Rattus norvegicus: one gene and its partners. The protein of the gene in region 2 purifies or fractionates together with the protein of the main gene of each other region. This does not show direct contact. Links are inferred from orthologs where the notes say so. Each region holds a gene or a part of one and is shown on either strand. Other genes may lie near its edges. The genes, in order: Arrb1, Map3k5, Daxx and Map2k3.

The links.
Region 1: the proteins of Map3k5 (region 2) and Arrb1 purify together in Homo sapiens (affinity purification with western blotting; 3 studies listed by BioGRID and IntAct, with this or other methods). This does not show direct contact. The link is inferred for Rattus norvegicus from reciprocal best matches to the Homo sapiens genes MAP3K5 and ARRB1.
Region 3: the proteins of Map3k5 (region 2) and Daxx purify together in Homo sapiens (affinity purification with western blotting; 7 studies listed by BioGRID and IntAct, with this or other methods). This does not show direct contact. The link is inferred for Rattus norvegicus from reciprocal best matches to the Homo sapiens genes MAP3K5 and DAXX.
Region 4: the proteins of Map3k5 (region 2) and Map2k3 purify together in Homo sapiens (co-immunoprecipitation; 4 studies listed by BioGRID and IntAct, with this or other methods). This does not show direct contact. The link is inferred for Rattus norvegicus from reciprocal best matches to the Homo sapiens genes MAP3K5 and MAP2K3.

The regions. Positions count from the first base shown.
Region 1 is NC_086019.1:163,246,872-163,254,928, reverse strand, and holds the start of Arrb1 (beta-arrestin-1), read right to left. Parts: upstream 4,714-8,057; 5' UTR 4,682-4,713; coding exon 4,662-4,681; intron 1-4,661. UniProt on the Homo sapiens protein: Functions in regulating agonist-mediated G-protein coupled receptor (GPCR) signaling by mediating both receptor desensitization and resensitization processes.
Region 2 is NC_086019.1:16,503,196-16,511,265, reverse strand, and holds the start of Map3k5 (mitogen-activated protein kinase kinase kinase 5), read right to left. Parts: upstream 5,303-8,070; coding exon 4,834-5,302; intron 1-4,833. UniProt on the Homo sapiens protein: Serine/threonine kinase which acts as an essential component of the MAP kinase signal transduction pathway. Plays an important role in the cascades of cellular responses evoked by changes in the environment.
Region 3 is NC_086038.1:4,969,641-4,976,750, forward strand, and holds the end of Daxx (death domain-associated protein 6), read right to left. Parts: coding exon 6,921-7,110; intron 6,322-6,920; coding exon 5,496-6,321; intron 5,400-5,495; coding exon 5,191-5,399; intron 4,976-5,190; coding exon 4,783-4,975; intron 4,623-4,782; coding exon 4,148-4,622; intron 4,032-4,147; coding exon 3,809-4,031; intron 2,709-3,808; coding exon of another isoform or gene 2,625-2,708; exon of another isoform or gene 2,557-2,624; coding exon 2,497-2,556; 3' UTR 2,333-2,496; downstream 1-2,332. Other genes in the region: Zbtb22 (zinc finger and BTB domain-containing protein 22), read right to left, coding at 1-993. UniProt on the Homo sapiens protein: Transcription corepressor known to repress transcriptional potential of several sumoylated transcription factors. Down-regulates basal and activated transcription.
Region 4 is NC_086028.1:46,104,940-46,112,855, reverse strand, and holds the start of Map2k3 (dual specificity mitogen-activated protein kinase kinase 3), read right to left. Parts: upstream 5,218-7,916; 5' UTR 5,056-5,217; coding exon 5,007-5,055; intron 1-5,006. UniProt on the Homo sapiens protein: Dual specificity kinase. Is activated by cytokines and environmental stress in vivo. Catalyzes the concomitant phosphorylation of a threonine and a tyrosine residue in the MAP kinase p38.

The DNA of each region.
Region 1 (8,057 bases), about 150 Mb from region 2:
ATCTTCCCTTCTCTCCTCATTCTCCCTAAACAAAGATCATCTACATCCTTCAAGGCCCTGTGTAGACCTGCGTCCATCTAGAAGACTTTCGAGTCCCCATCTGCCCCTCTGTCCCTAGCTTGAGGTCCTTTGTCAAAGCTTCTTCCATTTTCCTCAGCCCAGTCCTGGCTCCTCTGCCACCCTGGTTCCCCTGCCACCCACACGGGTCTCAGCTGTCACCCCTGTAAGCAGTAGAGAGGATAGCCTGGTTGAGGTCATGAGGCCACTCTGACCCTCCCTGTTGCTGTCTTGACCAACACACAGCCCGTGGGAAAGGTCCTGAGGGGGGCAAGTCCAGAACTAAGGACCCCTGACCCCATGCCAACTAGAGGTTTCAGTCTCTGGCTAGGAGGTCCAGACTTGAAAGGAAACAAGCCATCAAAGGAGTCTGCAGCCCAGCAGCCAGCTGGGATTCAGGGACACTAGGCCAGGCTCACAGCCACGCCCAGCAGCAACCCAGGAGCAATCTTGCCAAAGCCACAGGACTTCCCCATGTTCTAGCCAAGATGGGTCACCCAGGGCTTAACCACTTCAAGAAAGACAGCCAAGGTTCACAGAGAGCTGGTGATTGCCTCATTACAGCATCCTCCGTCCCTGAGATGGGGCTGTGGGGAAGAGGGGTGTATAGTGTGTGTGTGTGTGTGTGTGTGTGTGTGTGTGTGTGTGTGTGTGTGTGTGTGTGTGAGAGAGAGAGAGAGAGAGAGAGAGAGAGAGTTCATCAACATCTGCTGCAAAGGAAATTCCACTCCATCCCTCCAGTTGCCTCAAGATGACCCTGGTCACTTTTAGAGTTGGAGGACCAGCTGGGAGCAGTTGAAAGGTCAGCTGTAGATAGGACAAGCCCCTTTCCCTCTGAGTAGACTTATACAGCAACAGAGAGGCCTTGATGGGCAGAGGGACCTTTGTTCAGATGCTAACTGGCTGAACGGTGGTAGACTTGCCTCCTCTTTCCATACCTTTAAAATGGGAACAGCAGGGCTGGAGAGATGGCTCAGTGGTTAAGAGCACTGACTGCTCTTCCAGAGGTCCTCAGTTCAAATCCCAGCAACCACATGGTGGCTCACAACCATCTGTAATGAGATCTGATGCCCTCTTCTGGTGTGTCTGAAGACAGCTACAGTGTGCTTATATATAAATAAATAAATATTTTAAAAAAAAATGGGAACAGCAATTCCTATGCTGCTAAATTGCGGAAAGAATCCAGTGAGACTATGCATACACTTCTTGTATGTGTGCTGATGTGCATGCACATGCATGTTCATGCACATATAGAGGGCAAAAGTTACTATCAGGTATCTTCTTCCAACGCTCTCTATGTTTTGAGACAGAATCTCTCACTGTGAGTGCTAGACTGGCTGGCCAGAGAGCTCCAGAAACATGCCTGTCTGCACATCCCTTTCCCTCCTTTCCCTTTATCCCCACCCCCAGCAGTAGGGTTAGAGCCCACTATGCTCAACTTTTTATGTGGGGTCTGAAGATGCTAATTCATGGCCTCAGGCTTAGGCAGCAAGCATTTTACTGGAGTCATCTCCCCAGCCCCTGTGAACATAATTCTAAGCCCAGAGAGGCAGCAGAGATGCATTCAGCCATCTAGCTTGCTGACCCCCACTTCCTTGATCATATGCTATTGATCAGCCTTAGTTCTGAGCCACGGCCTTGGTTCTGAGGCTCCTTCCTAGAGTGTCTCTGCCTCAAGGCCAGCTCCTCCCTCTGCTGGCCACTGTCTTAAGCACCTGTCTGAGAGGAAGACTTGTTCTTGTCCTCCATTCTCCACCCTCTTCTCCCAGCTGATCCTGGCAATGGAAGAAAAATCCTGTTGCCTTAGCCTGACCTTCCCAGGGCTGGGGATGACTGGCCTGTGTTCCTCTCGCAGGCCCCACCCCCAGGCTTCTCTTCCCACCTCCCGGTCCTTGTACATTCTGCACCCTGGGCTGGCAGGGCACTGGTTGCAGTTCCACTGCTCAGCCTCCTCAAGCTTCTAGGTCAATCTCAGCTGCTTTGACTACCCAGAACAGTTTCGGGTCACATCCAGCTCAGCTCTGGTGTGGATGCCTCTTCCACCTCCCAAAGTGATTGTGTCGTGTACCACCATCACCTGGGAATGGATAGTCTGGGGATTCAGCTCTGGGAACTCCTGCCCCAGGCTACAAAGAAGCCACTCTTTCATGACCTGTGCTCATTGGACCCCTGTTGGTGCTAGCTTGCTCTGCCCTGGGCCTCCTCTCAACCCAGGGGTTTCTGCAAGGGCAGTGACAGTTTTGATTAACGTTCATTATCACTTCCTCCAACCGACAGGAATAGATGTGATGACTCCAGAGCCTAAGAGTATTGAGTATTTGCAATGTCCCTTCCAGGTCTCAAAGCAAAATCTCATGGCCAATGTAACACAATGGAGAAAGCTTCTTACCTTTCATATCCAGACAGATCTAGAAAGAGAAAGGCAGAATTCATGGCTCTAGAGGGGCCCAGGGAGGGGAGGCAAACACGGACAGGTGGAGTTTGTGTAGCTAGTCTGTATTTCCTGGCATAGGCAACTCCTACTCCTATGTCCAGTGAGCTCAGTAAGCTTTTGGGAGCCATGAAAACCAAAGTTCTAATGGCTCCAATGTACAGATGGGAATACTGGGTCTGCCCTTGAGTTAGAAGCACAGCAGGGGAGTCAAGGACAAAGCTGTGGCCTCAGGATTCTCCAACAGGTGTCTGGCAGCCAGAGTGTCCTCCTCCTATGACAATTCAAGGTATCAGGAATCTGTGACACTTCTCCCCTAGTTACAGAGAGGCCCAGCATGGCTGAGTCACCCTGGTCACCAGCAGCACTGGAGAACAAAGGAGAAGTCAGTGGCTGCTGACTCCCTGCCGTGCCTCACAGGGAGCAAAGCTCAACCTTACAGTTCCAGAGAGTCTCAAAGCGGGGAGGGGGATGGGTGTGGCTGAAGAGAGATGCATCCAAGCATCTTTCCTCCAAGGACTGAAGCCTGGGTCACGATGCTGACCAGCCAGCTGCATTGGCCCTCAAGGTGAATGCAAACACCTCATGGCTGTCCGCAGTCTCCCAAAGCTGTGCCTCTGCACCAAGTGAGTCCCTTGCTAGTCTTTACACCCAGGGCCCCAAGGAGAGCCACAAGATACAGTGGGCTGTGGCCTCTGCCCCTTCCTGACCTTCAGCAAGGCAAGTGACCTTTCTCACCCTTCAGTTCCTCTTTGGGGAAACCAGAATAGGAAAATTAACCTCCAGGAAGGGCCATCAATAGGGAGGCTGGTGGGAGGTAGTTTCTAAACATGAGGAATCTGAGTTAGCACTATGCCTCAATTTCTACTCCTGGGAAATGGGAATAACCTCTGTAGCCCCTTTCACTCACTGCTGAAAGGCTCTGGGGTCAGTGGGCAAAAAACCAGTTTGTTTAAGGGCCCCAACATGTGACTGCAGGGATGCTTCCTTTCTGATCATCTCTCATCACCGAGGCTATGCCTAGTATACAACAGGGGCTTAATAAATAAATATCAGAGGAAAGGAAGTGAAGGCAGAGAGAAGAACACAAACATAAGAGTAATAAGGAAAGCAGTGATAAAAAGCAGGTGCAGGAAGACTAGAGGAGGGGCCAGGAAGGGCGGCAAGGAGACTCTCAAGGGCCAGGAAGGTAAACTCTAAGTTGACTAGGGCTGGTCTAGGTCATAAGGATTGACCCCAAGAGCTTCCCTGCCCCTCCCTAGCCTTCCTACTTTGACCTAGTTTCCATTTCGAGGGCCTAACCTTTCCTTTCAAGGCAGGATCTACAAAAACAGTTTCCCTCACCACCACCATCCCCAGCTAGATGTAGCCCCTAGCTATGTGCTTTGGAGGTCAGAGGGGAAGGAAAGCATGTGAATGGGACCTGCCTTCCAGGTCTCAAAGTCTCCCACTCTGACCTGTGTTTCTGGTCTGGCCATGGGGAGTCAGAAGTGAAGTGTATCCACTGCCCTAGAGATGTCAGGCCCTGCAGGCATTTTCTGCTGTGCATGTGCGTGATTGGCCTTGATGTGTCACTAAGACCTGTGGCTGCATCGTGTCATTTCAGAGAGGGTTGACAGACTGCAAGCACTAGCCAGACCGTGCTTTGCAGCATCCAGGTGACAGGATACGTATGTTGGTGTATGCCCAGATGTGCGTGGCAACACGAGGTGTGTTAGAGCTGGTGCGTGTTCCAGTGGGACCTGTGTATGCTAACAGTACTGACAGCAGGAATGTGTTGGCAGACTAGTGTGTGCGTGAGAGACCGCGTGTGACGTTGTCGTGTCACAAATGCGAAGTGTGGCAGCGACTGTCAGTGTGTGCCAGCAGAAGGGTGTTCATGTGTTTATGAGTGTGTGTGTCGTGTGTCAGCCTGCCCCAGAACGTCCTCGAGTCTACCGACCAGCCAGGGCTGGTTGTGTGAGCTCGTCTCGGCCAGGAGCCTTGAACCAAGTGGGGTGGCCCATCCTGGGTGCCTCCGTCCTTACACATGGTTCTGGCCAGAGACCACACAAGAGACTTGGGCGGACAACAGAGTGCCAGATCCCGGGTGACGCTGATTGGAACCTCCGCCCGTGCCCTCGCCCAGGTCGTCCCCACGCGCACGCGGGACAGGGCGGCCACCCGCACTCACCGTGTCCCTTTGTCGCCCATGGTCCGCGGCGGCCGCAGGGAGGTCCGCGGCGTCAGCGTCCAGGCTGGAAAATCCCCGGCCGCCAGGAGAAGCGCGGGCCAGCCCGCTCCCGGCTACCCCGCTCCGCCTCCTCCGCTGTCGCCGCCGCCGCCCCCGCCCGGGTCCCCGCCCGTCGCTCGAGCAGCACAGCGCCCCGGCCGCCGCCAGGGGCGTGGAGCGTGCGGGTGTGAGCGCGCGTGTGTGGCTCCGTGCGCCGCTCTGCGTGTGCGCGCCCAGAGAGTGAGGGCTGGGTGGCCGGCCGCGGCTGGTCCACGAGAGTGCGTGCACGCAAGCGCGTGCCAGTGCTGGTGCGTGTGCACGGCTGTGCGCGCGAGCCTGTCGGGAGAAGGGGGGAGGGGTAGAGAGAGAGATTGTGTGTGTGTGTATGTGTGTGTGTGTGTGTGTGTGCAGAGATAGCACGTCTTTGTGCAGTTGTGCGTGTGTGCTCACAATCGTGGGTGCAAGCGCGCTCTCCCGCGCAAGCCAGGACTGGCCTTTGTGTCTGCGGATAGATGCAAGCGGAAAATCCGCAGACTCCAAGGCCCAGCCTCAGCGGCGCCCCTGTGTGTGAACACAGCAAAAGATTCCAAAAGCCTAGCCAGGCCTTCGCCCTTTGCTCCACCCTCCCCGCCCCCGCCCTTCTGGAGAGATACCACCCAACGGCACAGCGGGGACAGGAAGAAGGGGTGGGGGCGGGCAGCGGACTGCAATGCTGGAGAGCAGATGAGAGTGGAAAGAGGAGGGGAGGGGCAGGCAGAAAGAGGAAGCTGTGAGAACAGAAGATAAAGCAGGGACCAAGAGCCAACTAGCTGGTGACCGGAGCATCCAGCATCATTGCTAGCACCCAGGCCTAGTTTACTTGCCTGCAATGACTCTAGACATCAGCCATCTCAGCCCATTCCAGATCTACTGGCTGGGTCCTAAGACCAGCAGATGCCCTGTTCTATAGGTGAAGGAATTCACTTGTTCTTGCCGGCAGGCACCTGCACACAGTGGTGTCCAGCAGAGCTTACTGTCTGCAGCTTTCTTGCTATCCTTGAAATCTTGACTTTCCCCAAGTTTCCTACCCCTGTGGAAGTAGCAGGTGTGCAGTGGGAGGGTGGAGTCCAGAGGCTAAGGAGGGGTAGGAAAGGGTTCTGGATTTTAATCCATTTTCTCCTGGAAGGGATCTTAAGGGGTTCCTTCTTGCTTTGCAGGAAGTGGGAGAATGTAAGGTCTTTCTCAGCCGCTTGCTGCTGGGGTTTGACTAATTGGCACTGATAGGTCCCTAATATCGGAGTATTAACGATAGGAAAGGAAGCTATCATTTACTCTGATGCAATTGCGGGTCTGGAAACATCTCCTGTAATTATGTTCAGAAGAGTTACCTATGCTGTTTACATAGAGTGTGCTGTTTATAGAGTTGGTAATAATATCCCAGGATAACGACTATAATTATGTCCAGATTGGGGAGGGGTGGGTAGAGGCTAATGGATAGGCAGGGTGGTCCACATCTGGGCAATGGTAAGAGCTAAGTGAAAATGGATTACGGTCTGTAACTTCACCTGCCCTTTCTTAGCCTCTGGGATCTTCCCTTGCTCCAACCAGGGCAGAACAGGAAGCTACCAGATCCTTCTGCAAGGGGTTGTGGGGGGATCTTGAAAGGAACAGAATAGGATCCTCTGTTGATAGCAAGAAGATCACTTTGTGAGCTCAACATCAAGAGGCCTGGTCTTATATTCTCCACACAGGCTTCATGCAAGCCTGATGGTCTCAGTACAGAGCCCAGATGCTCAATGCACATTCAGGCAAACTCTTCATTCTACTTAGTAAGTATCTGTGGTTATGTTATTATAACAAACAATGTTTTCGATTACTTCTCAGTAAACAAACAGCCCAGAAAGATGCACCAGATGGCTCCAGGTAGCCCCCGCCTCCACGCAGCTCTTCCTGGACCAGCTTTGGAAAGCATGGCTCTAACACCGAGGAACACTGAACAGATTGGTAGATGGTGGTATCAACACACAAGGTGTCAAGTGCATCCTCTGTAGCCTGTAAACCCCATGAGGGTGGGTGGTGTGCCTGGTGCTACTTGGCACTTGCAACTCTATGAGCTAAATGCTCTGTTACCTTTTCTAAAATGAATAACCAAACTGGTGCTTGGAGAAGCTAAACTGGCTTGCCCAAATCCGCAGCCTCCTGCTTTTTTCTTTTTTTAATTTTATTTATATGAGTGCTTTATCTGCATCTATACCTGCATGTAAGAAGAGGGCATCAGAACTCCCTGGAGAGAGCTTTAAGCCACCACATGGTTGCTGGGAATTGAACTCAGGACCTTTGGAAGAGCAGCTGGTGCTCTTAACCAGCCAAGCCGTCTCTCCAGTCCCCCACAGCCTCTTCTTGACCTTGGCCTCTCTTTTCCCCAGCTTTCCTCAACAGAAAGCAAACCCAGAGCCAGAATTTGGCTGTTTTTTGTTGCTGCCACTGCTGTTGTTGTTATTGTTTTATTATTGTTGTTGTTGTTTAATTGTTTCTTATGCCAGTTGTGATTCTGGGGGATTTACAGAGCGGTGTCAAGCAGGACAGAGCTTTCAGTGGAGAGAGGGGTCTAGAATGGGGGGCAGAGGGGTCCTTAAGGGGGCACTTTCATCTGTCAGGCCTAAGGAAAGCACTCATATATTCACTCAATGATCAAGATTAATAAAACTGCAGTAGAGGTCATGAGAACTCCATGTCAACAATCCGGTTTTAGTAATAAGTGTCATGAAAGATAAAACATAGTGGCTGGGACTAATGTCCTTAGATAAGATTCTTCAAAGAGGTGACCTTTGGGCAGAAACCTGCACCAAGAAGCCAGTGACTCGAAGGGCTGCCAGCCAAAGGACCAGCAAGGAACCAAGAGGGTGTGTCTGGGCTTGGTAAACAGGCAGAGTGGTTGCAGTTAAGGCAGGCGGCAGTCAGATGACACATGTCTCTCGGTTAGGGGTGAGGTACACAGGAAGCCAATGTAAGAAGAGGGTTTAGGGCTTCAGTGTGTCTAACCTTTGCCCATGGGCCACACGCAGCCAAGAACAGCCATGAATGTGGCCCAACACGAAAACAGAAAGTGCTTTAAAACATGACAAGATTTTTGTGTGATTAGACAAAGCATTTCTGGTGTGTGACCTTTGTAGAGGACAGTACTGGGTCCTGATGTCAAGAGCCTGGACATACCTGCTGAGAATAGCCCCGGCTTCCCTTTCTCCAAGACTGTGCTGCACATTGCTCGATAGAGATGACACGGGAAGGGTAAGGACAGAGGCTGGATGCCCCACTGGTACAGTGTCCTGCTACTACAATGGTTGGGACTAGAGCTGTGGCTGAGGTCGTGGAGAGGAA
Region 2 (8,070 bases):
AACACATTTCCATTTCAGTTCTCTTGAGTTTTTTGGGATTTTTGCTTTTGCTTTTGTTTTTTTTTTTAAACTGGTTCATGGGAACGACCAGTGCATTAAGAATATACACTTCATCACTCCATCCTCTTCCTCAAAGCACAGGACGATCCTTACAGCCTGAGTCCGAGCTGGACTTGAAAGCAGAAATGCAGAAGTCAGCAGCAGCAAGACTTTCAAGGACTCAGTCTAGGGCAGACAGGTAAAGAAAGGATCATGTTTTATTTTGCCTAAGAACACTGGAAGTCCTAAGGAGGTGGGGCAGAGGCAAATGAGGCAAAACAGAGGCTCGTCAGACGCCCCCCTGGCTAAGCCACACAAGGGCTGCTCTCAGCACAAACTCCACTCCATTGAAAGCACAACACCACGGATGAAAACTTCAACTAGCACACACTTCCTTCCGGCTCCCCACTACTGCCGCCGCCGCCTCGTGAAAGACGGAGTCAGAGATTGTAATCTGCAGTGAGTCAGCCTAAGAGGAAGGCCCCAAAGATGCAATAATGACTGGTGGCAAGGTAAGGGGAAGTGGGCAGTCCATCTAACCCAGTGCCCACCGAGAGGAAGGTAGGTGGCTTTGAGCCAAGGGAGGTCCCTAAGCCTTACACCAGCAGGCCATGAGAAGGCAAGGCTAGGGAGAAAGCTGAGAGAAGCTCCTCCCGCCAATGCCCAAGACGCAGCCAAGTGTACTGGTGTACACTGAAAAGTGTATCGAGAGCCCAGTGTAAGGGGATCGGAAACATTTCCTGAATGCTCAAAGTAGTGAATGGGTTCCACATGTTTGGGCTACCGAGGCTTCCCTACAGGTGACCTCCAGGACCTGCGGCTACCTGTAACAGCTGATTCTGTGGAAAGATGTGAAGCTCACCTTAAAATCTCACGTTGAGGGGCTGGGGACTTAGCTCAGTGGTAGAGCGCTTACCTAGGAAGCGCAAGGCCCTGGGTTCGGTCCCCAGCTCCGAAAAAAAAAAAAGAACCAAAAAAAAAAAAAAAAATCTCACGTTGACCTGAAGGAATACACAGAACTGTGGTCCGGCGTTCTCACGGGGCAAAGTACAGAGATAACGGAGACCGCTCCGGCAATGCACACAGAGCCAGTGCCCACTAAGTAGAACTGGGAACGACGCTCGGTCGGAAGAGTGCTCGTCAATCCCCTGTGCTACCCCAGCACCTGAGAGATAGAAGCTAGAGGTGTGGACGTCCACGGTCATGCTCCACTGCATTAACCCCACAGAGGCAGTACCTTACACCATCAGAAAGCACCTGTGGCCTTTGCAGACTGTCACTGCCTACCATGCGTGGGGCTTGGGGCAGGTGCGTGGTTTGGCTGGCTATCTGCCGCCTCTGAGTGACACTCTCTTATGTGTAAAGCCGTAAGCATCTTTAAGATGCATAAATATTTCTCATACCGGCATCAACTAAGCATGAATCAGCTCTACCTGACAGAATAGGAAAGCAGCACACATCGTCAAAAGACAAGCCAAGGTAAATAATAATGAAGTCCTAATTCAGGGAACACTTTGACTCCGATGTGTTCTCCAGAAGACACCGGTACACAGAGTAGCAGACGTTCTCACAATACCAGCACTCTTCATTCTGTCGTTCGCTCTAAGCTGGACCACTTGGGCTCTGATCTTCCTTTCATGGCTTTCATGGCTCTGGGCTGCAGCCAGGGGCAGAGCTCCTGTCTGGCGCGCACAAGGCATCGGGGTGGGATTCCTAGCACTGGAGAAGAAATAACTCAACAAGCCCCAGATTGGGCTGTTCTTGCTTACTCTCCCATCTGGCTTCTCTGGTCACCTTTAAAAGGCTACCCTGAGTGCTAGAAATCTCTGGCTTCTGCGGGGGACCCTCACAGGCTCTGTGACAGTCGAGTCACAGGTTCCCACCCTTCCTCCCCACTCTGACCTCCTCGGGACCGAGGACAGGCCCTAAAGGAGCACTTAAGATTCTCCATGAAGTACACTGAGTCATTTGTAGTAATAACGCTGACATTTTTAAAGAACAGACCGCTCCAGCCATCATCTACTCCTCTAAAAGTATGAATTGAGTCACTCGGTATTGCAGAAGAGACTGAACCAGGAGACAGACCCCAAAATCTTGTTACGGTATCCACGCTTTCTCACTTTTCACAAATCCATACAGGATTCAGGGGCAACCTCAGACACGTGATGCTGCTCTCCCTCCACTTCTGCCCTGGTGAACTTCTCAGATAAAGAAGCTCTACTGAAAGGCAAAAAAAAAAAAAAAAAAAAAAGCTATTCTCACGAGAATATGACCCAGAGCAGAACTGGGCAAACACTCAGCTCCACCAGGAGGGGCCATGCCCTTCCAACTGTATCACAGGGATTCAATCCAGGTGAGGTAAGAAAGTAGAGAAAGAGCCAGGCCCAGGGACCTGCCGCTAATTCGCCTAGCCAACCTTCAGGTGAACACCGTTTACCCGTAGTTTTATTATCTACGGTCACACTCTCTTGCTTGCTTGATTCCGTTTTTGTTTCCGAAAAAGAGGTCCCATTGTGTGGCTCGGTGTGGCCTTTGAGTCACTAACTAGCTCAGGACTGACCTCAAACGATCAACGGTACAATCATCTCTTTAGAGAATGTTTGCAGCAGTTCTCACAGCAGAGTTGGAAACCTGTGACAAAAACCTGAAAGACTTCAGAGTCTCGGATACTCAGCTATCTGGCCTCTGACGGGAAACAAAACAAAACAGTTGACAAGCTGTTGATCAACAGTTGACTAGCAGTTGGCGGAAGGAGAGCGATCTCTCTCTAAGACAACAGGGGAGAACCCAAGTAGGCCTACTACCAAAAGCCCAGTCAATGCCTTCAGTTTAGAAAGACGAAAGGTTGGGGAGAACTGGCACCATCTTCATTCCATCACAGCATCACGCTGAATAAGATCTCTTCTAGCTGGGCAGAGATTAGACTCGGGCCTTAATATGTTGAAAGATCCAGTGGGTTGGGAGGATGGCCACCAATGGGGGAGTCCCCAAGAGCACATCCTCTCCACTGTTCCTCCACTGCACCTCAGTGTCTCTGAAGATCTTTGCCCGCTCTTGATCCTGGGATCTGAAATCAGAGTACTTCCCCTGATTCTAAAAGCAAAGACACCCTGCCCAAAGGCAGTCAAGGCCCCTGCGATCTTTTTAATATCAGCCCTGTGCACTGGACAGTTACTGCCTACGAATCCCAGGGCCAGTCTCATCTAATAAGTAAATATTACTCTTGCCCTAGGCCTGGTCCCAGGGCTAAGTGAGATAGAGTTCAAATGTCTGCTCGCCTCTAACGCTTCTCCCTTTCCCAGCGATGGTATTTGGAGAGTAACAGAGGACAGCCTTGTTAGGAAACTTTCCTTCATATTAGCTAAGGGTTTAAGTTTTTTTTTTTTTCCCGGGGCTCCTAGGAAAAATAAGCCCACTCTATCATTGCAATAAAAATAAGCTCAAGTTTTAATTTGGCTTTTTCCCCCTCTCCTATCATTTGGTTCTTTGAAGATTCTTCCAAATTATAATCCAAAAATAAGAGTGCTATAATTTTTAGAAAAGCTATGTTTATTTAACTTTTATAGCTAGCCACCCCAAGAACCAAGCTATAATATTTTATATTCATGTTCAGTTATGAAGACCCAGACTGTTTAAAAAAAAAAATACCCAAACCAGAGAGTCTTAGTTTATTTAGTCTGGCTTCCTTAACATGAAGTTCTTCTTGTTCTTAAAATATTCAGCTCTGGCTGAATTCCAAAGCAGACATAAGCCTACTTCAGGTGTTTTTGAAGAGGCTGTAAGAGAATTAGATTGAAATATAAAACCCGTGATCACAAATGTTAAGAAGCTTACTGTATTTGAAGAATGGAACCAGGTTTCCCACCACAATTATAAAAATTAACACGTCTGTTTACTTGATCCCATTGGATCTCAGTAGCACGCTACCATTCCCAACATTTGCTAACAGACAGCTAATTGGTTCAGTCATTAGGACTCTCTAACAGTTTTGAAATCTGAAATGGACTAAATGGGGAGCCATCCCTCCCCATGTGGATTACTTTAGCAATCACTTTAATGGCCAACCGAATCGGTCATTAAAATTGCATAGGAACTCTTTAAATGATGTTAAACTATAAACTCTTCCACCCACCACAGTATCTGAGGTAATAAAAAAAAAACTGGTTCTTTTGGCAAGACTCTAACAAAGATCACACACATTTGGTGTGTTTTCACAGTACTTTTACTCTAACATGTAGTTATTTGACAGTTTAAAGTGGTAACGAGGACGGGAAACTGAAGCCACCAAAACTCCAAGGTGAAATGAGTTGGGGAAGGTCACGCTACGCTTTGAAAGCTCAAAGGAAACCCTGCCGCATGCTGGCGTTTCTGTACTCCCAAGACTGCACGGCGAACAGAACATCACCTCAGAGGGCCACAGGTGTGTGCAAAAGGAAACCCTAACTATACACTCACTAACTGAAGAGAAGTGACTGAAGAAGTTATTCGCAATGGGGGGGGGGGGGGTGTTTGAGCCTTGCACTTAGACTCAGGGGCTTCACTGCCGGATAGCGAATAAATCAGCGGACCTCCTGCCCAAATACAGCCTCTTGCACCAGCACACCCTCTGCTAGGAGCAGCCGGCCTGAACAGTCCTGCAACCCCTCTCGCCGCTCCCAAGGTGGGGCGTGATGTAAATAGGAAGCTTGCTTCCCGCCCACGAAAAACAAAACAAAACAAAATATTCTCCCAGCCCCACCCCCACGAAGACAGCCAGGGGAAACCCGGTGGGCACCGCAAGGAGCTGCCACTCACCAGCGTTGTAAAAACGGTCCAGCACGGTGGTTTCCCCAAAGTCCAGCTTCCCGAAATGCAGGGTCTCCAGGGTGGCGCCCACCGCCTCGCACGCCTCCCGCAGGCTCTGCAGGGCCTCGCTCTCCGCCACCACCAGCTGCCCCTGGCTCGCCTCGTTGATCACATACGCCACGGTGGTACGCCGGCCGCCCCCGCTGCCAGAGTTGCCCCGGCCTCGGGTGGCGCTGCTCCCGGGGGCGGTGGTAGGGCAGCTGGTGCCAGGAGCCGCCGCGCTCTCCACGTTCCAGAAACTGCCCGGCGGTGGTGGCGGCGGCGGCATAAGCAAGGGCTGCAGGCTCGGCTCGCCCTCCGCCGCCGTCGCCGCTCCTCCTCCCCTCCGGCAGCTGCCGCCCTCCGGGATGGGGCAGAAACCCGCGGACAAAATGGGCGGCACGGAGAAAGTGATGCCCTCGCCGGCTTCGGTGCCCATCTCTACCTGCCGAGCTGCCACGGCGGCGACCCCGGGGTCTCCAGTCCTGACGCACCGTCTGGCCAGCCACAGCTCCGGGCTGCTCCGAGCGCGCCGGGCTAGGCAGCTGCCATCGCGCGCCGCGCCTTCGCCGCCCCGCCGCCGCCTCCGCTCGGGCGCCCGGTCCCCCGGGGCCACGCCGCTGCCCGGCGGCGGCTCGCCCCTCCTCGGCGCCTCCGTGGCCACGCCGCTCGCCCGCTGCAGGGTGGAGAGTCCACGGGGTGGGGACGCCGGCCGCGGCGAGCGGGAAGGGATAGAGCTTCCTCCTCTTGGCGGGCGGACCAGTCGGCGGCCAACCTGCGCAGCCCGGCGGCTCAAGGGCGCCGCGCTGGGGGAGCCGCAAGCTGTCGCTTGCCGAGCGCCGGCCGGGCGAGGGCGCCCTCTGGGTGCTGCGCTACCTGGAGAACACCTTACGCGCGGTGGGCGGGCTGCCCCGGGGCCGCGTCCCGGAACCGCGGTGGCCGCTCCCGAAAGGACCCGCCTCTCAGCTCCGCCGCAGCTCCCTTGCACCGACTCGGTCTCCTCCTTCCTTCCCTTCCTCTTTCACCGGCTCGCCGCGCCCTCCGAGTCCCAGCGACTGTCTCGCAGCCGCCCGTCCTCTCGGCTACCCGCCTCTGGCCGCCCACTCGTTGCTGCACGGAGAGCCAGGGCCCGCCCCTGGGGAGGGAGCTGCTGGGAAGCTGCAGCCTGGACCGAACCCACTGCTCCGGGACCTCAGAGAACCGGGAAAGAAGGCTGAAGCTCCGCGCGCGCCCCGCTGCGGGACGGCGCGAAAGAAGCGTCTCTAACCCGCACGGTCTGGGTCAGCCCGCCAGGCGTTTGCAGCGCTGGGCTCAGCCACGGCGCCTCGCCCGCACGGGTCGGCTGGTGGGCAGCGCGCACTCGGACCGCGCGTGGCGCTGGAAGCCCCGTGGCTACACGCGTGCCGAGAAGCGGGAGGATCCAACAATCGTCCTACAGCCCAGGCCTTAAGTGGAAAGTGGTTTATAAGTGACAGGGGCGCTAAATTTAGAAGTGGTTGGCTAAATTTATCGTGGCAGCCGCTGGTACTTTTCATTGTAAAATTTCCAGTTGCTTACGCTGTTGTCGTTAATGAGTAATTGATTGGCTCCAGGGTGCTGAATGATTTAATATTCTCATATAGCATCCTAAAGACACCCCTCCCGCAAAATGCCACATACCCAAGATAGGAAATACATGGGGAAATTATCATCCAAAGTTGAGACAGTGAAGTCGATCTATTTCATTTTTAAAAACTGAACCACACACAGAAGAAACGGGTGGGTTGTTTGAATGTAAAGAAAAAGGCTCGCGCTTATTTTGGAAGCAAAACCAGATGTGCGAATTCCCAGAGAACTCTGTCGGAATGCTGCAGGTCGTTTTAGGAAAACCAAAGCAAGCTGCACTACGTAAAGGATTTGGATTGCCTAACTTGAGGTTAGTAAGACATAAAAGAGGCAAAATGCAAATTGATGTCAAGCTCCCCCAACGCCTTACTTAACACAGCATTAAGTAAGGGGAATCTGGAGGGAAGGGACACAGTCAGACCAGAGCAATGCCTAATTCTTAAATTTGTTACAGCATTTTATTGATAGTTTCCAAATTATAACGTCCTTTTTTAATAACTTTATTGTACTCCCAAGCAAACTGGAAGCCTGGGAGACTCGTCTGTCCCTCCAATACCTTTAAAACCGTCACCAAGTCCATTTTCTAGTGAATGGCATGGTAACATCCGGACATCACCAGGCTGTTTTACGTGTGCTTCTTAAATTTCCCTGTTTAGATGAGTCTGGAAGGAAAAACAAAAAAAAAAAAAAAACACCGAGAGTCAACACAAGGACCCCATTACACCAGGCAAATTTTATACCTATTAAGAATGGAACTGAGTGCTTAATACATATTAGGGCAAGTATTTTACAACATAGGAATGCAACTAACTTCAGGATTAGGATTCAGAAATCTAAAAGGAATGGGACTGGAGAAATGGCTCTGTGTTTCTGAGGAGAACACTGACTACTCTTCCAGAGGTCCTGAGTTCAATTCCCAGCAACCACATGGTGGCTCACAGCCATCTGTAATAGGACCCTATGGCCTCTTCTGGTGTGTCTGAAGAGATCGACAGTGTATTCACATACAGAAAATAAATAAATCTTTTTTAAAAAAAATTCTAAAGGGAAAAAGTTATAAAATCAATTAACAAAATCTTTCCATGGCAGATGTAGGGTAGACAAATAAAATGTTATCTGACACCAATATATCACAATCATGAGTTTCTAAAAATAGGGAAAAGATAAAAAGAATTTCTATTTTAAGATGTGTTTTATTTGTCTGCCTGCAGGCATTTGCATGTGAGTGCAGGTGAACTTCAAGAGTAGTGGGTGTCAGTTCCCCTGGAGCTGGAGTTACAGGTGGTTGTGAACAGCTCGATGTGGGTGCTGGGAACTAAATTCTGATCGTGCACAAGAGTAGTATGGATTCTTAACTAATGAGCCATCACTCCTGCCCCGAAAAAGGGTCTTTAGAAAGAAACATAAAGTCATATACAATTCATGATCATGGGACTATAAGCGACTCTTGCCTGTGTAAAACGAAATTCTCCTCTATTGGTAACAAGATAAGGACAAATTATAACCACGTTCATTAAATGTCTTGGCGAAATCCTGATGTTTTCCAGCACACTTTTTGAGACTGGATGTAAGAAAATAAGACACTCTTAACTGTAGGCTTAC
Region 3 (7,110 bases), on a different chromosome or scaffold from region 2:
CAACACCAGATCTTCCTCCTCTTCCTCATCCTCTAGATCGGGGTCTTGGTGGACCAGCGATGCTGGTGCAGGGCAATTTCTAGCTCGCTTCACATACACCCAGTGTTTCTGTGGCACTGCACTGGCAGGCAGGCAGTTGGGCCTCCGGAGCCCAGCCCCAGGGGCCGCCGCCCCTCTCCCATCCCCACCGTCATCACATAGCTCATCGGCCTCTAGCAGCAACTTCCCAGAGGTGGTACCCGCACTGCCAACCACAGGGACTGGGAACACGGGGCCACCATCTCGACGGTTCCCACTACCCACTGCTGAGGCCACAAATGCATCTTGGGAGGAAGAGGAGAAATCAGTCGACTCCCGGGGGCTGAAGTAGTTGCTACTGCTGGGAGACTGATTCTCACTGGCCCGGCTGGAGGTATGGGAACGTACAGAGCCTACAGTGGCAGGGGCAACGGTGCCCCCGCTCCCTGATGGGACACTGGCACAAGGGACAGAGACAGAGGGGGCTGCAACAGCAGTGACAGTGGTAGTAGCGGCTGAAGATCGACCCTCCCGAAGGAGTTCAGTGCACTTATCCACAATGTGCCACATCTGGAGGACCGACCCCACTGTGAGGAAGTTGACAATGTCCGCAGCAGCCATGCTGAGGCGGCCCGTGTACGCTGAGGCCAGGACAGTCTCAAAAGCGCCTGGGTCCATGACGCTGGGCAGTGAGATGGAAGTCATGCCTTTGAGTAGGACCTGGTCGTGGAAGTAAGGAGAGGAGGCAGCCAAGACGGCCCTGTGAGCACGGAACTCCCGTCCCTGCACGCGGATAGACACATCGCAGAGCTGACCCTGGAGCCGCTGCTGGTTGAGGGACTCCAGGAGGGCACTGGTCACCTCAGGGAAGGACACGTGTACCACTGCAGCTGCCGGCAGAGGCAGTGGTGGTGGAGCCAGTGACAGAGGCAGTGGGAGTGTGGCCCCACTGGGTGACATAGGAGATGGCTCCATGTTGTGGAAGGAGATACCCCCCCAGCCACAGGAACAAAGGAAAGAAGAGGGCGGCCGGGGGGGTCTCTAGGGGGAAAAAAAAGAGAATAATACAGCATTTTGAAAAGACATAGACCATCACAGTATAAAAAAAAAGAAAAATCACTGAGATAAATAGGTACACCTCTCAACCCCATGGGACAGATGGGGCAACTGAGGCCCAGAATTAATCAAGAAAAACATCCAAGTACACCTACCAAACGACATCAAATCAAACCTCAGCGCTAGCAGAGAAAGTATTCCAACTCCAAGTTTAGTACTCTTTCCTAGGTCAGAAAATAGGGGGCTCTCAGGGAATGGGTGTCTATCCTTGTCTACAGCTGCCCCCGAGCCTCACTTAAAAAAAAAAAAAAAAAAAAAACCGCCTCTCCTTGGTGTTACGTACCAATTTTCTTGGGGCGAAGGGGTGTCCTCCACAGTTTTCAAGCTCCTCCCCCGACAGCCCCCAGTTAATTCCCCGACTCCGCCCCTTCAGGACCCTCCAGGGCTCCGCCCCCTAGATCCCCGACCCCGCCTCGTGTTTGCCCCCGCCCCCCGAACCCCGCCCCCCACTCCTCCCCAATCGCGTCCTTGGACTGTCCCCCGGCCTGAGGGGGCCCCCAGCCCCGCGCGCCCCCGCTTACCTGGCCGCGCGCCCCCGGGCCCCCCCTCACTCGGCGACCAGAGCCGCAGCCCCAGCCCCTCCCGCCGCCATCTTGTGCCGACTCCCTCCGCCCTCCGCCTCCACTCCTCCTCCCCGACCAGCGACCTTAAAGGCGCAGGACAGCACCCCTCCTGTGCCGCTGGGGAAAATTCGACCGACACCAACACTTTCCCTTTAAAGGACCGGCTCTTCATTCCTCCTTAAAGGTACCGGGTCCCATCTGCGGCTAAGGACTCAGGAATTGATTTGGCCGAAGCCTTCGCTCCCCTTTAATCCTGCAAGCCTACCTTTTCCCATTGACCAGTACTGGCTTCCGCTCCTCAGGCTCCACCCCGAGCCCTGGACATTAGCTCGCTCGCGGGATCTAACAGCCCTTTTCCCAGCGTATGACAGAACCCCTGAAGCCCCGCCCTCTTCCTCCGGGCCAGGATTGGTCAAATAACCTTGAGTCAGCCCCTGATTGGCCTTTTCACTCATACCGCTCAAAATAAGAAAGTAAAGCGGCTTAAGAAGGCTTCTGAAGCACTTATCTTTCCAAGTGCCTAGAGGGAGGCTCAAAGAAGGGTAAGGATGAGGGCACCCTAAAAAGAGGTCCAGGCTAGAAAGGGCAGATCCAGGTGACAGCTGTCATAGGAGAAAGACAATTTAAGAAAAGAATACAATAAGAAAAGAAATTCATTGTTTATTAATGTGTCTGTGTAAAACTTAAAACATCTGATTTTTTGTCAAAAGAAACACCACCAAAACGGGAGGAGCTCTGTCCATCATTTGCTCCGTCATCTTCTAACAGCCATTAGAAACCCTTCTGGATGCAGGGACTGCTAATCAGAGTCTGAGAGCACGATGATCTCCTCGGGATCGCACTGGGTGGCCACACTCGTCTGCAGACAAGTCAGGAGAGAAGGAAGGGTGAACCAGGCATGATGGCCCACGCCTTTAGTTCCAGCACTCAGGAGGCAGAGGCAGGCATCTCTGAGACTGGGGCCAGCCTTGTTATATACAGAGTTCTGGAACAGTCGGATACATAGAGACCCTGTCTCAAAAACAAAACAAAGCAGGATGGAAGGCTGAAGATGGCTTGGCCACTAGACACACTGCTGCTCTGCAGGAGACCTGTGTTCTGTATCCAAGACTCACATGGCTACTTAGTGCTGTCTCTGTAACTCCAGATCTAGAGGATCAGGCGCCCTCTTCTGGCCTCCATGAGCACCAGACACAAATGTAACACACATACATACCAACAGAACACCTAGTTACATACAATAAATCACTTTTTGTTTTACACGGCCTATGTAACCCTGACTGTCCTGGAGCTCATTCAGTAGACTAGACTGTGGCACTCAAGTTATAGACATCTGTATGCCTCTGCCACCTGGATGCTGGGGCTACAGGAATAAACCACTATGCCGGGCAAAATACATCTAAACACACATAGACAGTCAGTCTTTGAGACTTTGTGGGTTTTTTCCTCCCCTTTATCTACCCCATCACTAGATAGGAAAGAAGGATAGAGGGGAGAGATAGGGATCTCTGAATCTAATTTCTCTCTTCTTTGAGCAAGACTAACATACCACAACCAACCCCTGAGCTCACACCATGCCTCTTGGAGGAGGTGGGGTGGTGGTGGGGTGGTGTCTACCATTTCTACGCTCTCTTGAAAAGTTCCACAATTCCTAACCATCATGTTCACACAACCAAAGCAACTGCCTGTAGCTGGCAAAGCCACAGCTCTGCTGAGCTCAAAGTGAGTCACATTCAGCCACAGTGATCAGTTGGGAGCAGCCCCACATCCCCACACTGGGGATTAAAATGAAAGCCAGCTCTTTCACTGTTTTTGGTTGGTTTTGGGGTTTAGACACAGTTTATCTGTGTAGCCCTGGCTGTCCTAGAACTCACTTTGTAAACCGGGCTGGCCTCAAACTCAAGAGATCCTCCTGCCTCTGCCTCCCAGGATCAAAGGCATGTGTCACCACTATCCAGCTCTGAGTTTTAAGAAACCAAAATTCCAAAACTGTCACTGTACACACATGCACGCACTACCCACTGGCGAATGGGGGAAAAAAGAGGAGGTGCAGCCCCCACAGAGAGTGAGAAGGTGAAAATGAACTGACAGGGGAACCCCCCCCAGCTTACCTTATAAATACAAGGCCGGGGAGACTGAGACTGGGGAGTCTGGAGTATCAGGGATGGAGAAGGGTTGCACAGGGAGCTGGTTACCAGCTCATGGCTGGGAGAGTCCACCCTCGTGGAGGAATCAGCAACAGGACCCACAGAGGCCAAGGGGGAGGACGGAGTAGACAGGACACTTATCTTCCACCCACTGTCCTGCTGTGCCATCGTCTGCTTTTTTACATAGCTAAGGACAGAAGAGAAATGACAGAAGGGGCCTGAGGCCGCAGGGAGACCTAGGACACCAGGTTCCCTTCAGGGAATCCTGCCTCCTTGCCTGCCTTCTTCCTCACCCGACGTTACCTGTTTTCTAACGGCCCAGGTCCCAGTTGCTTCTTTTCCTTCCGAAATCTCTTGCTTGGGGGACTGGCATCTCGACAAGGGTGAGAAGAGACACGCCCATTGAAGGACGTAGAGGTAACCATAGCTGCCCCATTTTCCAAGATGGTGGGGAGGGAACTGTCTGACTTTCTCCTGGAAGAGGAAATGCCCCTTTCCTCAGGGGAAGGGATGGTCTCCTCAGGCAGAGCTTCCATGTCTAGCTCAGAAAGCTGGGACACGGGACTCTCTCCTGCCAGGAGCCGCTCCTGGAGCTGCTCGCCGCTGCTTTCAGCATCGGTGCTGGGAAGGCCCGGGGATGCTTCCAGCGGGGATGCTGGCGTCCCCGTCAGTCCTCTCTCCTGCTGCTCCTCCGGGGACCTGAGCCCTTCTGTGGGTGCTGAGTTCCTTCTGCGGAAAATGGGCGAAGGGGATGTGGGACTTTTATCGTCTTCATTATCTGGAAAAGAAAAGGGGGGGTGGAATGAGGAACAGGGGTGGAGAGAGGAACAGGGGTCGGGGGGCTGTGCAGGGAGGAGGAGGAAGGACAGGATCAACAAGGAGGTCATGTCGGACAGAGCAGAACCTCTACCACAGGGGCGCTCCGGTTATGCATATACCTCCTTCCTCCTCCTCTTCATCATCCTGATCCTCCTGCAACTGTTCTAAATCCTCATCTTCATCTTCGGTGGCCTCCTCCTCCTCCTCTTCCTCTTCCTCCTCTTCATCATCACTTTCCTCATCGTCTTCCTCATCCTCGGTCTCAGCCTTGGGGGTAGTAGGGTCCTCCTGGGATGCCACTCCACTAGGACCCTGGGGGAAAGAGGAGTCCCTCTTAAGGAATCCCTTGCCACACAGGTTTTTGGTAGTATGAGGACTTGACTCTGGGACCTTACTAGTGCTACCCAAGCACGTCACTAATCTTCTTTCCCTGCTTCCATACGCTGCTCCAGGAGTCACCAGGGGGTCCCTGGTGGCAGTGCAGGGTGCAGACAAGATTTCTCTGACAGATGACAACCCTTCCATACCTCACCGGAATCCGAGGAGGCTTTGGGGAGGTCTGAAGATTGGGAAGTGGCTAAGAGCCGGGCCCGTCTCTTCTGTCTCTCCCCCTCCTCACTCTTGTCTTGCATCATGGCATACTTGGAGATGACCTCATCCAGCCGGCTCATGGCCAAGGTTCGATTCTCCCGAAGGCGGCGAGCCAATGTGGGATCGGTGAGTGCGGGGTCAACGCCTGTGTGGGGAAACAGGGTCAGAGCAGTCAGTCCCAATCCTAGAAGGGATTAGAGCTGCCTCTGTTCCACCTGAAATCATCCCAGGAGCTTCCTACCTGGCCTATAGTCATCTGTGAGGTGGCAGCCAAAGTTATAGATGAGATCCAGGTGGCGGCGCTCCTGTAACCTGACACCCACATCCCGGAAGGCATCCTGAGCCAGGAGCTGAAGCTGCTGTCTGGGAAGGCCCAGACTGTGCCGGGTCGCCGCCTTCTCCACCGCTCTCAGCACATCTCCATAGTCCGGAAACGTGTCAGGCCCCGGCTTGTTGATGAGCCGCTCGATGCGCCTGTTGACCTCTGGGTATCGAGTGCCTCGGTAAGGAATTCGCTGCTCTATGACCCTCCCAGTCAGAGAAGAGCAGTCCTTCAACTCGCACAGCCGCCCAAAGAGGCGGATCAGTTTCCGCTTCAAGCGGGCCTCCTGCAAATAGGAGGAGTCGGGATCATCCAGTTCTGACAGATCCAACTCCTTTTCCTGCAGCCGCTGTATCTCTGCGACATACAGTGCCAGCAGCTGCTCCAAGCGCTGGATCTGCCTCCGGGAGCCTCGAGTCCTTGAGGCCTCAGAGGCAGTGGTTTCGGTGTTTGTAAGGTCAGACGGGGGATCTGTGGGAGGGTTATCACCCGATGATTCCGCTGAGGCTGCGGGAGCTAAGTTCAACTTCTTCTTGATGGAATGAGCTTTAAGGACAGTGCAGAGCTCGTTAATGTAGACGTAGAGCTTCGCTGGCCGGTTCCGAGACCGAGACAGAACCCTGGAGAGGATGTTGCGGAACTCTGCAGAGGCCAGAAAAGCGGACTGAGCACGCTGCTGCAGTTTGTGGAGGAACGGAACCACCTCAGGGTGGTCCGATGTCTGCATCTTACACAGTTCAAGGAACTAAACGGTTCGGGGGAAGGGACGGGAAAACCAAAAAACCAAAAAAAAAAAAAAAAGAGGGAATCAGTGAGGAAGCCAGAACAATCAGCCAATCAAACACCCCTTTCCTTGGGATCTGCCCAATCACATCATAATGGTTCACATCCTTTTCTTTTTTTCTTTTTTTTTTTTTTTGGTTCTTTTTTTCGGAGCTGGGGACCGAACCCAGGGCCTTGCGCTTCCTAGGCAAGCACTCTACCACTGAGCTAAATCCCCAACCCCCACATCCTTTTCTTAAAAAGATGTATTCTATATATGAGTACACTGTAGCTGTCTTCAGACGCCAGAAGAGGGCATCAGATCCCATTACAGATGGTTGTGAGCTACTATGTGGTTTCTGGGATTTGAACTCGATACCTCTAGAAGGGTAGTCAGTGCTCTTAACCACTGAGCTGTCTCTCCAGCCCAGTGATTCACATCTTGAATCCCAGCTGTCAGGAGGCAAAGGCAAGTAGAACTCTGTGAGTTCAAGGCCAGCCTCATCTAGACAGTTCCAGGCAACCAGGGCCACAAAGCGAGACCCTTCTCTTAAAGGAAAGGGAGCCTTCCCTGAAGCTTACCTCTTCAAACAGCTTCTCATTCTCCAACTTGTAGCACTTCCTGCTACCTGAGTTACTGCTCCCTCCATCCCCATGGGACTCAGAGGGACCAGAGGCTTCTGGTCCTGGTGAGACAGGATTAGAGGCTGGGTTGGAGGGTCCTGGCTGAGCAGCTGCTTCATCTTCATCATCATCGTCAAGCACAATGATG
Region 4 (7,916 bases), on a different chromosome or scaffold from region 2:
GGGAGTAAAGGGGGAGGGAGGACATTGGAGGGAAGGGAAAGTGAAGGAGGGCACCACAGAGCAGGCTTCACCATGGGCCCATACATGCAAGGAGAGTCCAATTGAGCTGCTCAGTGTGGGGACTAACTGTGGGTACTGCTGGACAGAGAGCATCCTGAGAAGCCAGAGCAGCCCTGGACTCCAGCTCAGCCAAGGCACTACCCTAACCCAGAAGGCAGGGAAAAGGATAGGGAGGGCTAGGAAGCTGTTGACCCTCCCATAGGCTTATTGTCTGTGTGCCCCAGTAAGACAGGGCAAGCTGCCATTGTCTCTGCTCTTTACCTGCAATGGGGGAAGAAAAAAATCTACAGGGGCTGCTGGGCACAGAGACCTGACAGATATGGGCAACATGGAAAAACAACCAAGGGGAGGTGTAAGAAAATTCACACCTGAGTCCTGCTGCCCACTCACTCATTCACTCACTCTCCAGGCTAGCACCAGGTCTGACATGGATGAAATTCTACCACCTGAGAAACTAGCCCAGGAGATTCTATCCCAGGCCGGCCCTACATCTCCCAAGCTTCCCTCACTTATGCTTTCAATGCCACTAGTCAACAAAGCTGAGGGACAGGGACAGATCTGCAGAAAGGACCAACTACCTCAGGTCTCTGCTCCCCTTCTTGATTTCCTCAGGGGGTTCAGGCAACAATGGTAGCTTACAGCTTAGGAAGCAGAGGCGAAAGAGAGCCGAGAGCTCTCTTTCCGAGGCTGAGACGCCTTTAGGGACAAACAATCCTTTCACAAGGGTTGCCTAAGACCATTGGAAAACACAGATATTTATTTACATTACAATTCATAACAGTAGCAAAACTGCAGTTATGAAATAGCAATGAAAATAATTGGATGCCGGGGGTCACCACAACATAAGGAACTATGTTAAAGGGTTGCAGCATTAGGAAGGTTGTCCTAGAGGCTGGCAAACTGTGGCTTTCTGACCAAAGAAGCCTTGTGTCACAAATCCCATGAGTACATCATCAGAGGCCATGTATTCACCTCCCAATGAGAAACAGCCACAATCCCAACAATTAAATAATGACAGATGCCATTTGTTTGGGAAACACTATCTCCCATCTTTACTACCACCCTGCAGGGAAGAGGTGCTTCCTCCCACTGCCCAGAACAGGACTGAGAGTCAAAGAGGATATGCCATTTGACCAGATGAGGAAGTAAGAGCCAGGATGGGATCCTAGGCCCATTATAACATAGCTACAATGCCCAGAACCTGACACCTATTCACTGGATAAAGACCATCTGCATCCAAACAGGCAACACACCCATGCTCATTTTGCTGGGGGTTAGGCTGGGGTTGGAGGGGGCGCATTTCGGCTTCTTCTCTGAAAGATGCCCCATACTCACAGGACTGAAACCTATACAAAGTATCAAGACTGTACTGGATACAATTTGTTCAACGTTACATTGCAAAATGGGCAAAGTAGGGATCTGACCCTAGGCAGTTCAAGCTAGCTGACCCTGCAAGGCCACTGCTCCTGGCTTTCACCAGGTCTTGTTCCCTGGGCCAGGGGCAGTCAACAACAGCTCTTATGTGGTGAGCAAGAGGAAGCAAGAGTCGTTTACCTAACAGAGGAAGTTCCTGGACAGGACAGGAGGATCTGCCCAGAATCCCAGCTTAACGGAAAGTCCAGAGCAGACCACCTGTGGTATCCAGCCCAGGACAGGGGCAGCCTACAGGTGGAGGTATGTAACCCCTGCCTGGCATTGCCCCTTTAAGCTATAGGCAGTGACTGGCATGCCTGTGGTGAGTCAGCATACAGCGCCTGCTGACTCACCCACCGGAAGCCTGGCTGCCTCTCCCCACACAGGCTGACTGGGAACTTTACTGCCTTCAGGCCCTGAGCCACAGGCTGGCTGATAGAGAGTTTCCTGTGCGTCACACCAGGACTGGGGGAAGTCCCCAAGGTGCCACCCTCTAGTCTTTCCAACTCCCAGGACAGGAGGAAAGCTCTAACCATAGCAGGCAGGACCAGGACAAGACATTCAGTGCTCCCCAGCTTCCCCGGGCTGCCAGAGACACCAGCCACCAATGAGCTCCAGAGGTGACACCTCCAGTAGAATGCCAAAGGCCATCCCTGACAATATGTACAAGGACAAACATGTCATGCAAACCCAGATCACCCTGACTACATGTGCCCCTGTACTAGCTGCCCTTGGCCTCAGATGGCAGGCAGTGACCCACTAATGAGCAAGGAGACAAGAGAAGCCAACCAAGTTGTGGGACCTACATGCCTCACACATGTGGGAGAACTTCCTAGGCTCGGGCACAAACAGCAGGCACAACCGTCCAGTGGGAAGTTCATAGATAAAGTTGCAGTCCCCGCCAAAGGTCAGGTGCTACCACTCCCTACTCTGTTCAAAGTCCTCTGCAAACAGGCTAGCAAGATGGCCCAGCAGGTAAGAGTACTTACTGTCAAGCCTGGACAACCTAAGTTCCATTCCTGAAACCCACATGATGGAGGGCTAATCCACATGGCTGAACTGAGAGAACTGACACCCACAAAGTATACTGACCCCATACATGTGCTATGCTGTGGCATGTATGTATGCATGTGTGTGTGTGTGTGTGTGTGTGTGTGTGTGTGTGTGTGTGTGATTTTTTTTTAATTAAGTCGCCTGCAAAGGTGGAAAAGAGTTCCTGTCAGGATCCATAATGGTGTGGACTCGCCAAGTTCTCCACTTTGCATCTGTTGCAGGCTCACATTGAGGGAAGTGTCCACTTGTAAGACTGCGTGCACAATAAGTGGTCCTCTGCTTCAGCAGACTCCATGGTCCAGTGAACATAGGGGTGATGGCCAGGGGGCCAGGGTACCAGTGTCCCATGGACCCCCTAAGCACCTCACATGGGAATGGGAATGGAAGGAACACTGGGGAGATCATCATTGAGTCCTGCTGTAGCTCTGCTGGGCCATCATAGCTGTGTAGCCTCTGTAAATGGTTAGTGTTCCTGAGCCTCTGTTCACAGGCAAATGAGTAACAAACAAAGCAATGGCAAAAAGAAAAGGAAAAGCTCTTGGAACTTTAGCAAGTGGATATTGTCAGTCCCTCACTACAGCTATCTCCAAACCCCTAAAAGGCTACAGGGATCTTGGGCCTTGGAAAGGACCTCCGCCCAATCCATCCAATATCATGTTACCTAACCTACAACCTGCAAATTCACACTAGCCCTCTCAGAAGAGAGGCCCCGGGCATCCAGTGCCAGGCCTCAAGTCAATCGAGCACATGAAAAGTCCACCGTCTCCCTGCACAGTGCTTTGCAATGTCACTCACAATCTCTCCCCCTGTGATTTGCAACTGCAACTTTTATTTTGATGAGGCATCTCTTTGCCTGGAAGAGCTGAAATGCCTCCAAAACAAACACTGCTTCCAAACCCTTCCTGAGTGGAGCAGCATCTGATTTCCTGGTTCTCAAGTTCCACGAGGTCTGCACTGCAAGTCCCTCCCCAGCCACCTCCCCCAATAAGTGCCTCCCTAGTTACTCACAGAAGTTGGGCAATGGTCAGGGATCTGGCCTCCCACTTATGTAAGACGCAATTACCCCGCCCACTAGGCTCCTGCACAGCCATGGCGGCCAGCTGCAGGGGACCCAAAAAGCCCCCACCTGCTCAGGACAACCTGACCAGGACTAGGACTCCTGAGGTCAAGGTTTCCTAAGTCAGAAGGAGAGAAGGCTACCACTGCACAAGCACCCTCTTAAGTGCCCACCATTCCTGTCCTCTGTGCTCTGCCCCTGCAATCCAAATCTGAGCCCAGACCCCACAGGGCTGAGAAAGCTGGAAACAGTCAAGGATGTGCAGCAACTATTTTTCCCCTGGGTACCTACTATGTGCCGGGTGCTATGTTGGGCCCTTGATCATCTCAGACATGCTTGCTTCAAATCACTCTACCTTCAATCTCACATCGCACCCCTGATATCCATTTCATTAATAAGGCCTAGACATGTCCAGAAACTAGCCAGGTGAGGCAGCCCAGGATGCAGAGGGTCAACCCATTCACATCTACAGTCCAGCTTGGAACTCTTTTCTGCAGCCCAACCTACTGAGTCTCTGACATGTTAAAACATCCTTCTCTCTTCCTGGAAAAAAAAAAAAAGCTTTCTGACCTCCAAATCTTGTCCCCCTCACTTCCCATGACAAATGCTGCTGCTGCAGCCCACGCAGCTCTACTGCCACCTCACAGAAATTTCCAGGAAAGACAGTTAGTTACTTGGAGAAGACAAGCCCAAGCCTTGTACAGTCAGCCCCTGGCCTGCTGTTTGCCCAAGGACCAAACTGCAGGTCTAAGAGCAACAGACTAAGAAACACTAGGTGCAAAAAAGAGGTCAGCTCCTAAAACTCAGTGAGAAGATTGCAACTGAGTCAACAAGTAGCAGGTAGCATGGGCTGAGCTGCGAAGTGGAGACGCCAGGAAGTTCTACAGGTACAGCGGTAGGGAGGAGTGCAGGCGGCCAGTGTGCAGGCCAGCAAGGCATGGGGCAAAGGAGGACTCACAAGGATGGAAAGAGTTGGAAGAGAGGAGTTCTGAATTCAAGAGTAGACAGGTTTCCTGCATTGGGAACACAGCCCTGGGGCCCAGAAGAGAGTAAATTCCAGCCTGAACAAAATCCAAGAGTCTGGCCTGAGGGGGTTAGTGCAGCCGAAAGACCCTCTAGCAGGGATCACAGAAATCCCAGCTGAGTCCAGGATGAAGCCCGGAAGCCTGGACAAGAAAGAAGCTCACGGTGCGGCTCCAGACTTGGAGTGGAGTAAGGAGAACAAGGTCCTGCCTGGGTGAAATCCCACGGCCTAAGATCCGAATTCCAATGAGGTCCCGTGAGGTCCCGGGCTTGGCTTGGGCTGGACCCAGTCCTGGGCTGGAGTCCGGGTGCCTGTGCCCAGCCGGGAAAGGAGTCCAGGGGCACGGGCGGGCTCAAATTGAATGTGGCTCGGGCCGCGCGGTAGGGCGGGAGAGCCTACCTTTGGTCTGAGGCAAGCTGGCCGGCGGGCTGGCGGCGGGCGACTCCATGCTGCGGACCGTCGCGGAGGAGAGCACTAATCTAGAGGACAGCAGACTACACCGGGGCCGGGCGCGCTCATGGTTGCTGGTGGCTGGCAGCGGCGGCAGGCGATGGGCGACAGGCGACACAGACGCGACAGTTCCAAGCGTCCGAGGCGGGCGGCGCCACAGCCACACTGGGCAGCGCCGGACGCCTACCGACGGCGCCACGTAGGCCCCGCCCATCGTACTGATTGGCCCGCCTGAAAAGGCCCCAGCCTATCAAACACCGCCCGGACTGTCACGTACAAACCCCACCATCCAACAGCCGGAATCCAAACCCCCACTTTTCTAGTCCAGCCCGGCTCCGCCCTCTTGCCATCAAGATGACAGCCCTACCCACTCGCGGGATTGTGCTGGCGTGGTCCTGGGTGCCCCAGCCTGTGCCCCCCTACGGCGCAGCGTGTGCCGGTCGTAATCTGGAAAATCCCAAACTCTCTAGAGTGCGGAGCCAGGCCGATGCACTCGGTGGGGTTAAAAGTGCTCCCTGAGTGAGACTGGACTCCTAAATGGCTGAGCCATACCGAGGGTGAGCGTCCATGTGCTCCCCTGAAGAGAGCGGCGACCACCGGCTTGCCTCCTAGGGCAGCAGGAAAAGAGCGATCCCACGGCGGGCGCGTGCCAGGTGAGTGTTCACCGACTGTGGGAAAGAGTTTACTGCACCTTGCTGAACGAGCACGCGTTTAAGTCCAGTCTCTGAGAGCACTTGGCACGCCAGCACCTAGGGAGCAGGGAATTCAGTGGCTAACCTTTGCCTAGTGACAAAGTAACTGTTTTGGTTGTAACATTATAGCAGCTCTACGTCCTGGGCCCCCGGATAGTCTCAGATTAAACAAAGTGTCATTCCAAACATTGAAATACCTTTGGCCAGCCTTGACTGGGGTTCCATCTCGGCAGTTGGTCGCTGAACCTCTGTCCTCACACTAGCCAGAAATCTCTGGGGTCAGTTAGAAACCTAGGTCTAGTGAAGGCAAGAAGCACAAAGTCAAGTAGTCAGTCAGAGCTCGAGAGCTCGAGTAAGTCTTAGCTCTCTGGCCAACACTCAGGCCCCGAATGCCTTGCTTGCATATTTGGTTTCTACTATAGTCCTCTTCCCGTGTCACCTGCCCCTCCCCATTAAGAATCCTGAATGTCTCATCCCCTGCTGTATCCCAAGGCTTAGCCCAGAGCCATGCACATAGTAGGTGCCTAAGAACTATTCAAGGAATGAACAAAGGAAGTAGGAAAAGCATGCCACAGACATGGGTAAAGTGACTCTAGTCCCGTGCCAGCCTCCCAGGCACCAGGGTGACTCAGACAAGGCCCTCAAAACAGGAGGAGTTTAATGGGTTAGTCAGAGAACTTGACAAACAGCCCAGGGATCACAGACTCCATTGGGGTGCTATAAATAGATACAAGAGTCCTAAGAAGAGGCCCTACCTCACCTGGGTGGGGTCAGGGAAGGTGACCTTCATGGACTAGTAGCCAGGAAGAGAGGTCAGAAACCATCCTTGGAAGAAACGGAAAGGTCAGCCCAGGGAGTGGAAATCTGCTCAGGAAGCCAGGTTAGGCTACACCTGCAAGCCGGTCAGCTGCTAGAATGAGGGGCATGACGGAAAGCCACCAAACTTTTTTCTTTCTGATCACCTTTGGCAACATCTGCTACCCTCCTGTCCCTAAGTGGCACAGTTAGGCCGGGGGAGTACATGACCACCTAGACACTGGCCAGAGCATTAGACTCAGATCCCAGAAAGCTGCCTCTTACCCTGACTCCCAGGAGAGCAAACCCCCTCTATGGAAAACTGAAGTTTGAAATGGGAAGGGCTCAGTGTTAGCATGTGACTGTGAGTTGAAGAAAGGGGGTGATCCACACCTGGGGTTTGGGGGAGCAACTCACTCATTAGGATCAACAATGAACAAAACAGATACAACTCTGCTCTCAGAAAGGAATGGACTTCCAACCTAGGTTAAATGATAGTGTGTCTCGGGTTGACAAATGCTGTGGGGGAAAAAGGAAAGAGGCAGTGTGTCCAGAGGTGGGAGTGTGATTGTAGTGACAGCATTCAGGAAGAGCCTCCCTAAAGGTGCCACAGAAGCAGAGACTTGAAGAAACAAAAACAAAGGATAAGCATTTCCAAGACAGGGAGAAAACCCCAAGCTAGTGTCACCGCTGGTACGATCAGAGGTGAGAGACTCTCTTAGATGCAGCCCTTCCAAATGCTGTTAATCTTCACCCCTTGCACTGGTCATACACCCCAAGCACACATGAATTCCCATGAGATGCACAGTGTTTGTATGCATTTAGCATGGCTGCACAGAGGCAGGCCTGTTGACAGGCACAGCGGTCATGCACAGCCCTGATTGTGTGTGCAGTGCCCTGCCATCTGCAGAGCCTCCGAGGCTTGCTGACCTGGTGTGGGTGCCTTCAAGTGACTATCGTGGCTGTGCTGTGTGGGTGCCTGGCTCGGGATAAACTGATACCATCTGTGCTTTCCTGCTATCCACCTTTCTCACCTCCATGCTAATTGCTGCAGATGCTCCACAATGCTGCAAAGAGCTTTCCTAATGGGGCTGGCCAAGTTCAGACCTTTCCTGGTTCCCTAGGTAGGAATTTCCAACCTTCTGGCCCTGTTGACATATCAGACACTTCAAAACCAAGCTTTCCTTCTTGATCCTGTCTTTTCAAAGGCTGTTCCCTCAGCCAGGAATGTCCTTCCCTTTCTTCATCTGATGCCTTCCTACCCTCCTTTCTCTGCCATGTGAAACAACACAGGGGATACTTACCTCTTAGTAAGAATTTTTTCACCTGCTGTATTTAAATTAAGTGGCCACCATTTTGAAACATTGCATGA